Arabidopsis thaliana: one gene and its partner. The protein of the gene in region 1 binds, or shares a complex with, the protein of each later gene. Each region holds a gene or a part of one and is shown on either strand. Other genes may lie near its edges.

What was found. Proteins that work in one complex are often made in the same cells at the same time.
Region 2: AT1G31500 (region 1) and AT3G58560 share a complex: the UniProt entries of both Arabidopsis thaliana proteins name them as parts of the CCR4-NOT complex.

Annotation. Positions count from the first base shown.
Region 1 is NC_003070.9:11,273,102-11,278,620, reverse strand, and holds AT1G31500 (DNAse I-like superfamily protein), read left to right. Parts: upstream 1-1,992; 5' UTR 1,993-2,086; coding exon 2,087-2,142; exon of another isoform or gene 2,143-2,146; intron 2,147-2,439; coding exon 2,440-2,704; intron 2,705-2,891; coding exon 2,892-2,941; intron 2,942-3,269; coding exon 3,270-3,339; intron 3,340-3,555; coding exon 3,556-3,680; intron 3,681-3,767; coding exon 3,768-3,880; intron 3,881-4,024; coding exon 4,025-4,160; intron 4,161-4,237; coding exon 4,238-4,385; coding exon of another isoform or gene 4,386-4,391; exon of another isoform or gene 4,392-4,494; coding exon 4,495-4,800; 3' UTR 4,801-5,019; downstream 5,020-5,519. Other genes in the region: AT1G31510 (F-box associated ubiquitination effector family protein), read right to left, coding at 159-340, 413-472, 517-1,204. UniProt on the Arabidopsis thaliana protein: Acts as a catalytic component of the CCR4-NOT core complex, which in the nucleus seems to be a general transcription factor, and in the cytoplasm the major mRNA deadenylase involved in mRNA turnover.
Region 2 is NC_003074.8:21,650,012-21,655,799, reverse strand, and holds AT3G58560 (DNAse I-like superfamily protein), read left to right. Parts: upstream 1-1,599; 5' UTR 1,600-1,903; coding exon 1,904-2,061; intron 2,062-2,337; coding exon 2,338-3,076; intron 3,077-3,179; coding exon 3,180-3,266; intron 3,267-3,367; coding exon 3,368-3,451; intron 3,452-3,522; coding exon 3,523-3,609; intron 3,610-3,703; coding exon 3,704-3,790; intron 3,791-3,933; coding exon 3,934-3,987; intron 3,988-4,074; coding exon 4,075-4,166; intron 4,167-4,280; coding exon 4,281-4,395; intron 4,396-4,510; coding exon 4,511-4,658; intron 4,659-4,762; coding exon 4,763-4,920; 3' UTR 4,921-5,235; downstream 5,236-5,788. Other genes in the region: AT3G58550 (Bifunctional inhibitor/lipid-transfer protein/seed storage 2S albumin superfamily protein), read left to right, coding at 5,567-5,788. UniProt on the Arabidopsis thaliana protein: Acts as a catalytic component of the CCR4-NOT core complex, which in the nucleus seems to be a general transcription factor, and in the cytoplasm the major mRNA deadenylase involved in mRNA turnover.

The DNA of each region.
Region 1 (5,519 bases):
GAGTTCAGATCCGCCGAAGCAATAATATGAACATAGAAATAATCAAAATAAAAAACCATATTTGTATGCATAAATATTGTTTCCCACTTTTTTCGAACCAGATTCAAACTCTTATGAAGTTATCCCACTATGTTTATAGAGTTCGAAAGTAAAGACCATTATAAACATGAAAGAAGATAACCATTTAACTCGTAGCAATGGATCGGAGCACGCTTATTCTTCTTCCTCTTAATTACCTCGAAAAGCCTGGAACCGGAAGTAAGCTTGGGACATATATAGTAGCAACCAGGACCACCAATTGAAGACTCCATAGAAGAGTAACATTCAACTTTCGGGCATTCTTATGTCTCTCCCACAACGTAGATGCTAATTGACCTAGTTACAAAGTGACGAATATATAGCAGAATCTTACCATTGTTCTCAATGAAGTGACTTGGATATATTGGAAACTTGGGAAGTTGAGCTATAGAAACTGTCATTAACCTACTCCAATGCTTCTTCATCAGTATATCTTACCTGCTAAGTGCGGTTCACGTAACAAAGAAAGATGATCTCCACGGAAAATCCCTAAAGAAAGAGAATCTTTCCACTGGATCCCGATGGATGAGTGATGAAGAGACTCGAACAAGGTCTCAAATCTCTCTTTTGAGAAATCGAAACTTTGTATCGAAACGGTACCGTAGATATTATAACCTATCCAATAAGGAGTTCCTCCTATACACACACTTGACAATGGTAGTCGAAAGAACCCATGGAAGGTTTTATCAACAACAACAACCTTCCAACAATCAGATTTGAAATCGTAGATTTCAACACTTAAATTATTAGGACACCGAAACCTAACCATTTTGTAATCATTACAACCACTTGGTGACTCGTTACTAATGTATCCAAGACCATATGCATCGATGGAATGGTCAAACTCAAAGCTATAGCCACATTTGATCCATCTTGCTTCTTTCAACAACGGATTGGAAACTAAAATTTTGGTTCCCATGACCATTAGCAATAGACCATCACAATGAAACATGTTGTGCTCCAATAAATCCGAAGATGAAAGCGGTTTAAAAACCTGAAAATTTAAACTAGGTTTGTTGTTGAAATCCATACCGATACAAGAAATTGTTGAGCACAATGGAGAAACTGTGGCCGGAACGTAATTGAAGACTGTGAATATCGGTTCAAGACCATGCATGTGAGACATGTGCTTGTTGACGAATATCGGTTCTGTGATTAGTGTTTTCCATTGCTTGCATGTCCTCTACCAAATTAGTTTGTAGTATGTCCTTTACCAAATTAGTTTGTAGTATTATATTTGGGTTTGTTATTTTCAATTTAGGGTATATATTTTTATTATTAAAAACTTTTTTGATTCAATTTAATATTAGATTAATGTTTGCTCTCATTTTTATTTGGGGGATTGATACAAATAGTAATAAAAAAAACTTTATTATTTAATTAATTTATAGAGGATTAAAAATTTTATATGCTATTTTGGAAATTTCAAAAAAAAGGTGTCATTTTTTGGAATAATAAAGTTTTTTAGTGTCATTTACGTCAATCCCCTTGTTATATTAATATTGGTGTGAAGCTTTTTGGGAAATATATCTATAATTTCTCATCTTATAAAGTTTTATGCTCAAGTGAGTGTTAGTATGGAAATTTTTAATTCGCAATAGTGTATATTGGTCCGTAATGGTGAATTAGTTAAATATCGATTAATTAGATTTTAGTCTGGTACACAACCATTTATAGACTAAATATCTGACAGTAAATGATTTAGAAACTCATACTAACTTATATAGTTATATATATAGGTGCTTTGGGAATTTTTGAAAATTTTGGGTTTTGGATTTTGACGTTGATTTCGATTGGATTTTTATTTGTTGGAAAGTAAATGAACCTACTAATGACCTATTTTTGGTTCTAAAGTTCCAATAAATAAAATGAAGGCTCACTAACTACTTTAATATAAAGACAGGGAGCAAATGATAATTATCGAATTCTTCACTATTTTATTTGAAAACCCACAAGAGTTTCTTCAATCTAAAGCCAAATTGGGTTAAGTCAATTGTTGTCACTATAGATGTTTAGTTCTACAACTCTGCATCATCTTCCTCGTCCGAATCTTCTTCTTCCCAGGTGGGTTTCTTCGTTTCTGTATCAATCAATATACAGTTTCATTTTCTGTAATCTCAAGTTTCGTATTTAGTAATGCAACTAAATTGATCGTCTCTGTTCATTGTCATTGGGCAATTTCGTTGAGGAATACAATTTGTTTAGAAATTTCTCATCTTTATATTGGAACCAATCCTCTAGAATCTCGAATTTATCTGGGCTGTAATTGAAATTTTATGGGGAATTAAATCAGCTTCTTAATTTTGACCTAAATATTGATGTTCAAGGATTGTTTTTTTTCCTGACCCTTTGATTCAACAGCTCTCGTGTCTGCAGGAAAGTTATTTCGAGAAGAATGAGTACGAATCCTGCAATTGAACCAAAAGTTCGCAAATTTGAATCTGTTGAAGGAGTTGATATTGGTTCAAGAAATAAATCCGATGGTTTTTTTGCTATTCCTCTTTACTTATCAAAGCTTGTGGCTTTATATAACTGTATAAGTTTAAGTAGAATTGGTACTAGTAATGAGAATTTTGTGTTTTCAGGTATCAGATTCCGTCTTGTTTCATATAACATATTAGCTCAGGTAAGAAATAATCAAGCTTTTTAATCTCTCATATGCTTTGTGATATTTTGTAGCTTAATATTTGGACGAATTTTGTAGTTTTAAACGATCTTACGAATTTCTGAGCTTGATTTATAGATACAGACAGTTCTTTTAGCTCTTTCCTTTGTTGAGTTTCTTATCTATTTGAGCTTTATATTTCTTGTAGGTTTATGTGAAGAGTGCACTTCTCCCACACTCTCCACCTGCCTGTCTCAAGTAATTATTTTTCTCTACATTTCTCAGTTTCGAGATCAAATTTACTTATACTAGTCAAGAGTTCTTTCTGTGAGTTGTGTAATCAATGGCCTGGAGTATAGTCAAGATTTGCTTCAGAAAACAACAATGGATTCTATGAATGTTTAGGAACTTAGCTATAAGCAGGCAATATTGTGTTTGGTCTTACCCACGTTAATTATCCATTACCCAATATGTACTTTGGATTTAGCGATATATTAACTTTGTTAAAATATTAGGGAATGGTGCTTCTTAAAGGGTTATGGTTTTGTAGTAAATGTGACTTGGTCTTCCTTTTCTTGTGTTGCAGATGGAAAGCTCGTTCACATGCAATTCTCAGCGTTCTCAAAAATCTCCAGGCTGATTTCTTTTGTCTGCAGGTACTTTATTCTTGTGAAAACTTCTTCTTTTGTGTTTAGGTAGTATTGAGATACCCTTTTCGTATGAAACACAAAATTCATTCTTCTCTTTTGTTCAATCCATTAGACAAGCTCAGGCCTGTAAAAATGTTAGTGTTGTTTGTTCATAGGGCCTTTGAATTGTGTTTAACAAAAGGGTGTCTCCACTTGTTAGTTATATAGTTGCAATGCTCGCAGGAAGTAGATGAGTACGATAGCTTTTACAGAAATAACATGGACTCTCTGGGATATTCTGGGATTTATATTCAGAGAACCGGCCAGAGGAAGCGTGATGGTTGTGCAATCTTCTACAAGCCAAGCTGGTATGATAAAAACATTAAGCCTGACAAGACGTTAACTTAATGCAAAAACATCAATCTGATTGAAACAACACTCTTCTTTTGATTTAGTGCAGAGTTAGTCACAAAGGAACGGATCGAATATAATGATCTTGTGGACTCAATAAAAGCAGATAGTGTTTCCTGCAGCGAACAGAAGATTGAGACATCCAACGAAGGAAAAGGTGATGAGAAAGCGAAAGATAAATTTGTCCTTTTGGAGGAAAAGAAAGCAAATACTTTGTGCTGTTTCTTTATATCTCAACATCATTACTAACTTTTATCTATGTTCTCTTCACATGTTTCCACAAATCTGCCCCAAACAAAAGATTCTCGAAAAGACAGTCGTGACCTTAATGATCCACTAGTGAGACTAAAACGTGATTGCGTTGGAATAATGGCTGCTTTTAGGATCAACAAGCCGTTTCAGCATATCGTTATCGTGGCAAACACACATCTTTACTGGTAAAAATACTTGTCACCGATTGAAGATTATCTTTTACCACCCTTTAAACTTTCATCTCATGTTTACTTATCTCTAGGGACCCTGAATTGGCTGATGTCAAGCTTGCTCAAGCCAAGTATCTACTGTCACGACTAGCTCAGTTCAAAACACTAATATCAGATGAATTTGAGTGCACACCTTCATTGCTACTAGCTGGCGACTTCAATTCAATTCCTGGGGATATGGTTTGATTCAGTTTCTTACATTGAGTTTCCCTAATTGTTCAATCTATTTGCAAAATCAAAAGATTGGGTTTACGGTGGTAAAATCCTGATACTTGTCGTCGTTTTCCAGGTTTATAGTTACCTAGTATCGGGTAATGCTAAACCCACAGAGACCATAGAAGAAGAAGAAGCTCCAGTTCCTCTGTCTAGTGTCTATGAAGTCACAAGAGGAGAGCCTAAGTTCACAAATTGCACTCCTGGCTTCACAAACACACTTGACTACATCTTCATCTCTCCTTCAGACTTCATTAAACCTGTGAGTATCCTTCAACTACCTGAGCCGGATTCTCCAGATGTTGTCGGTTTCTTACCGAATCATCATCACCCGAGTGATCATTTACCTATAGGAGCTGAGTTTGAGATTCGTCGGGAATAGGAAGTTTCGTTCTTTAGAAAGTTTTGTCGCATAACTCCATTGTTTCAGCATTTGAATATGGTTCTTGTAGAAATCATGAAGCAGTGAATCATACACACACAACACAAAGTATTAAAGGACTTGGATCATTTTTGTCTCAATAAACTCGAAATTTTCGTTGTGTGCATTGAATTACTGAGAATATTTGAATTTTCTTGAGAAGAAATTGTTTAATGTGTCTTGTTTATTGCACTCATAAAATAACATAAGAATTGGTTCTATTATTCTGTAGTCAACTAGACAAAAACAATAGAAGATTTAGTGAAATGACATGTTAATATCATATGATGATCTCGTTTCAATTTGTTGAATAAAGTTGCAACAAAATTAGGTCAAGCATTGATCTGTTTTATCTATCAACCACTAAAGTTTGTACTATCGCACCAACTTATAATAATAAATCATAATTTTGAGTACGAACGAATATTCTTTTACAGTCTCACCTTTCACCGATAATTTGAACCATTGTTATTGAATAAAGTCGTACTCTTCAAACTTTTATCCAAAATGACAGTGATGTAATGTTATGTTCCAAAAACATAAGATTTTTTCAAAACGGATAGTGATCATTCCTTTGAATATATAATCACAAACAACCGAACAAAAATATTATATTTTCTATGCTTATTATATGTTCTTATAAATAAATATCATTTAGCATAAGCTTCCCTTGAGAACCT
Region 2 (5,788 bases), on another chromosome or scaffold:
AATATATTTTGTATATATATATAATGCATTAATTCATATAATATTTACTTTATTTTTTCAATTTCAAAACTAAACTAAGAGAATAAATATTTTTTTAAGATATGAACTATTCATAATAATAATAATAATAGTTAGTTTCTTAAGAAGTTAAATTTTTAATTGCTAAATATTTTTAATCAATAGTTAGTTTTTTCTTATATTATTCGTAAAAAACATTTACTTTGAATTTAAAAATTACCGTGCAAAATTTAGACTAAAAAGTTATATACTCAATTGTTTTTCATATTACTTTCTTATGAAACTTATATAGTCATGTGTATTTGGTTCTGTAATGATTTATTTTCTAATGAATAAAGAAGTTTATATATTTTAATTGATAATACAAAAAAAAGATTCTTTCACTCATATGTTTCTAATAAGATTTTTCTGGTTTTAATTTCAGTTTTTTTTTTGTTTTAAAAATTTTAATCATTTTTTTCATTTTTAGTTTAGTTTTGAAATTAAAAAAAGCTAAATATTTTAAGAATCAATGTATTAAATATATATGCAAAATATTTTTATAGTAGATGTAAAAATTGTTTTTTGATTATAGAATAACTAGTAAAACTAGATTTTTAATATTAAAAATAAAGTAAAAATTTATTTTTGAATATTTTTGTTGGTTAACACCGGTTGACGTTAGAGTTAATTGGTTATTTAACATGAAATTTTATATTTATAATGTTAACTATATAATATTATATACTTGGTTATGCAATCTATATACATCATTTAATTAAGTGTTATTTAGTTTAGTTGACATATATAGTTTGTACTGTATTATATTTTCCGTAAGTTTCAATCTTTTTTATTATAAATAGGTGAATATATGTGTATATAGAAAAAAGAGTATTAAAGACTTTTTGTTTCCCTTTGGAAAATAAAATAAAATAAAAATACGAGTCCATATTTGGTCTTGAACGAGACTTGCGTTCATTCCTAGGGGGATGAACCTCTTTGTTCACCTCCTTTTGCATTAACTAATAAAAATATGTCATGTCAAATCCTATTTAAATTACATAATAAATTGAAGCTATAATTATAATCCAAACCGATATATAATTTCGTTTAATTACAAAATCTAAACCCTAATTCTTCTTTGTAAATCCAAACCGCCATTTAAACTCATTTAGTCGTAAAAAAACTAAACCCTAATCGTATTTTCTAAACCCAAACCGACATTTAACCTTGTTTAATTGTTAAATCTAAACCTGTTAATAAATCTAAACCAATATTTAACCCGTTTAATCATAAAATCTAAACCTTAATCGTACTTTCTAAACCAAAACCGATATTTAATCTCGTTTAATCATAAAATCTAAACCCTAATCGTATTTTCTAAACCCAAATCAATATTTAACCTTGTTTAATTGTAAAATCTAAACCATGATTTTTTCAAATAAACTCAAATCGATATATAATTTTGTTTTTGAGGCAAATTAGATTTTATAATTAAATTAAACTTTTATTATTATTATTAGGTTTTAAATTTTAATGGGCTAAAACAGTGAATATAGAACCCAAGTATTTTTCTTTGGTCTTTGTCCATCTTTGGAAATTAATTTAGTCGTAGCGAACAAATCTATCCCACTCATTGGATTTCAATTTCATAAATTTTAGGTTGTAAAATTCGGGTTTGGAGAAAATTGGGGGTAAATCTAGGGTTCTGGGAAAATTAGGGTTCTGGGAAAATTAGGGTTCATCCATGCTGTCGAGTTTTAGGGTCAAGTAAATGACGGATCCATTAGGATCCGTTTTATATCTTATGCTCTCTCGTCTCAATATATATATTTAAAAATCTCAGCCTTTGGGCTTCGTTAGTGTTGGTTTGCTTTCAGAATTTAACTTAGTTACGGTAAAAGCAATGCTTAGCGTTATACGAGTGCATCTACCGTCGGAGATTCCTATTGTTGGCTGCGAACTTACACCTTACGTACTTCTCCGGCGGCCTGATAAGACCCCCTCCACCGATGATGTGCCTGAGTCAGCCCCGCTTGAAGGTCACTTCTTAAAGTACAGATGGTAAGTCATGCCTGTGGCTTCCTTTTACTCTTAAATCTGCTCCCTTTTACTAGCTTTTGCTCGAGTTTGTTATGGACGACTTTTTTTTACCGAAAGTTTGAGACTTTTCTGTGAATTCCCGGGTATGATTTGTTTAAGTGTTTCTTAGTCAGTTCAAGTCTTTGTTCGTTTGCAAATTTGAGTGTGAAAAATGATTTCTTTAATTGTAAAGTAGGGTTTATAAGTCTCCAGTCTTGTCTTTTGGTTCTGTATTAAAAGATGCATCATCTGTTGCAGGTTTCGAGTACAGAGTGATAAGAAAGTTGCGATTTGTAGTGTGCATCCATCCGAGACGGCAACATTGCAGTGTCTGGGATGTCTAAAGTCTAAAGTTCCTGTTGCCAAAAGCTACCATTGCTCTACTAAGTGCTTTTCGGATGCGTGGCAACATCACCGTGTGTTGCATGAGCGTGCTGCCAGTGCTGCTACAGAAGGAAATGATGAAGAAGAGTTGCCCCGTTTGAATAGCTCAGGGTCTGGATCTGGTGTTCTCAGCACCAGTGTTAGTTTAACGAATGGGTCATCATCAGTTTATCCTTCAGCCATAACTCAAAAGACCGGCGCCGGAGGAGAAACACTTGTTGAGGTTGGACGCTCTAAGACATACACACCAATGGCTGATGATATTTGCCATGTTTTGAAGTTTGAATGTGTAGTAGTCAATGCAGAGACAAAACAGAATGTGGGCCTTTCTTGTACCATATTGACTTCCCGTGTTATCCCAGCTCCATCACCTTCTCCGCGTAGGCTGATCTCTATTAGTGGAACTGATGTTACTGGGCACCTGGATTCTAATGGGCGGCCTTTGTCTATGGGAACATTCACTGTGCTGTCCTACAATATATTGTCTGATACATATGCTAGCAGCGACATATACAGTTACTGCCCCACATGGGCTCTCGCTTGGACATACCGTAGACAGAATTTGTTACGGGAAATTGTCAAGTACCGTGCAGATATAGTTTGTCTACAAGAGGTATGTTAAATATTTATGGCACAAGTTGTACTGACTTGGAAACGTTTCAATTGCTAGTTAATGGATAAATACCTCTCCAATATTTTCGTTTTTCATCTTGCAGGTACAGAATGATCATTTTGAGGAGTTTTTTCTTCCTGAGCTGGATAAACACGGATACCAAGGTCTTTTTAAGAGGAAAACAAATGAGGTTTGCTTCAACGCATCCCCTTGATCTTCCATTACCTTTTCGTGGTCACTTATCTGCAAGATGTACCAACCAGAAAATATTGATTCACTGGATAATTTTAGGTTTTCATCGGTAATACAAACACAATTGATGGGTGCGCTACTTTCTTCAGAAGAGACAGGTTCTCACATGTAAAAAAATATGAGGTATGTCTTAGTTTTCTCCTGTTACCTATCTAATTAGGCCCATTTGCTAAATCATTGGGCTGCTCATCCAGGTTGAGTTCAACAAGGCTGCACAGTCTTTGACTGAGGCTATTATCCCTGTTTCCCAGAAGAAAAATGCTTTGAATCGGTTGGTCAAGGTACTCTGAGATGCTCTATAGTATGATTTCTGTTTTCCGCACATTCTTGGTGATATTTTTTCATGTAAAACTGATTTAGAGTCTTTCTTTTTAGGATAATGTTGCTTTAATAGTTGTACTGGAAGCAAAATTCGGTAGCCAGGCTGCTGACAATCCTGGGAAGCGCCAGCTACTTTGTGTGGTAAGTTGTCCATCTTTTCAATATTGTTCTTTATTGTCAGAGATGATGCTAGAGTTGAAGTTATGTGTTTCCACTTCCTCTTCTCCTTTAAAGGTCTCGAGGTGATCATGTTTTCTCTCTTTTCATGTATTTGATGGGTGCAGGCTAACACGCATGTAAACGTTCCTCATGAATTGAAAGATGTAAAGCTGTGGCAGGTTGGTCTTTATTTCTCATTGTAAAAGAACTCTCAGATTTCGGATTCTTACATCACTATTGATCCATAATGATTCTTGCCCAAATAGGTTCACACATTATTGAAGGGACTGGAGAAAATAGCTGCCAGTGCAGATATTCCAATGCTTGTGTGTGGAGATTTCAACACAGTACCTGCGAGGTCTGGCTGGTTTTCCTATTTGTTATGCCCAAGTAGCAATTGTCAAACTCTATATTAAATTATGATTGTGGTTTCTACCTGAATTAACTTGGAGTTCCTTCTTAATATTTTCAGTGCTCCTCATACACTTCTTGCTGTGGGAAAGGTCGATCCATTGCACCCAGATTTGATGGTTGATCCTCTTGGAATTTTACGTCCTCACAGCAAGCTTACTCATCAGCTGCCACTGGTAATTATCTTTCCCAAAAATGGAAAACAGATGCACAGAATCGTGAAAGGCAGACTTCAATTTTAATTAGAATGGCAACATATGCGTAGACATCATACCTTTGTGACCATTGCAGGTTAGTGCCTACTCACAATTTGCAAAAATGGGAGGCAACGTTATTACTGAGCAGCAACGTAGAAGACTGGATCCTGCATCAAGTGAACCGTTGTTTACCAACTGTACCAGGGACTTTATAGGCACACTTGATTACATATTTTACACAGGTTAACTTAAGTGCTTACTTTCAGGGGTTTTACGCGCCAGTGTTTGCTTTCATCTCAGATTTCTTTTTCATCTGGTAAGCAATTTGCTTTTTGTTTTGTTTCAGCGGACACGCTAACAGTGGAATCGTTGTTGGAACTGTTGGATGAAGAGTCCTTGAGGAAGGACACAGCTCTTCCATCTCCAGAATGGTCTTCTGATCACATTGCACTTTTGGCTGAATTTCGCTGCATGCCCAGGGCCAGACGAAACAATATTTTATAGAGATACTGCAGCTGTAATAACCCGATACCAAAGACTGGTTCCAATGGATATGGTTAAGCTACATGAAGTAGATAGCATGGCCATGTCCCTGGGGTTTCTCCCGCTGGGTTTTTCGCTTGCGTTCTACTCTGTATCACAGTTTTATTTACTGCTTGGTTCGCTTGGCTTTTCTTTCTATAGTTATTTCCTCTTTGCCAGAAAGTTTTGTCTTCACTGGCTTGTGATTGTAACAATGTAAACAATTAGATTCTTCAAGAAAATAGTGACTTCACCTTTTCCATATTAAAATCTGTGTCTTCTATGGTTGCAATCCTCCTTACACTCTTAACCCTACAGCTTAACCATCAATTTTCTAGTCTCTTCACTTGTAGATATCTTGCAGATACTGTGAAAACGAACTGTGAACAACTTGATATATTTTATATGTACCCCTCCAATAACTGAAGATGATCCAAATTCCAAAACTCAAATTTCAATTCAGAAATTAGACATGTTAACCAGTACTCATTATATAATCCTTTTAAATCAAGTTTCTTGCAGACTTAGAACTCTCGAGTATCCCTATAACTAGAGAGGGAAACATATGTGAACAAGAAACAAGTCTTATAAAAAGCCACATTAAGTTCTTACTCTGCTGCATTAACTGATGGCTAGATTCATGGCTTACAATCAAAATCCACAAATGTTGGCTCTATGCATAACAGTAGCAGTAATGTTCCTTGGTGTGAGATCAGAATTGAGTCAGGATATAAAGGGATGTCAGGATGCGATGTCTGATCTCTACTCTTGTCTTCCTTTTGTCACTAACAAAGCTAAAGCACCAGACTCAACATGTTGCAGCACACTCAAGGTAAAAATAGACAAAGGG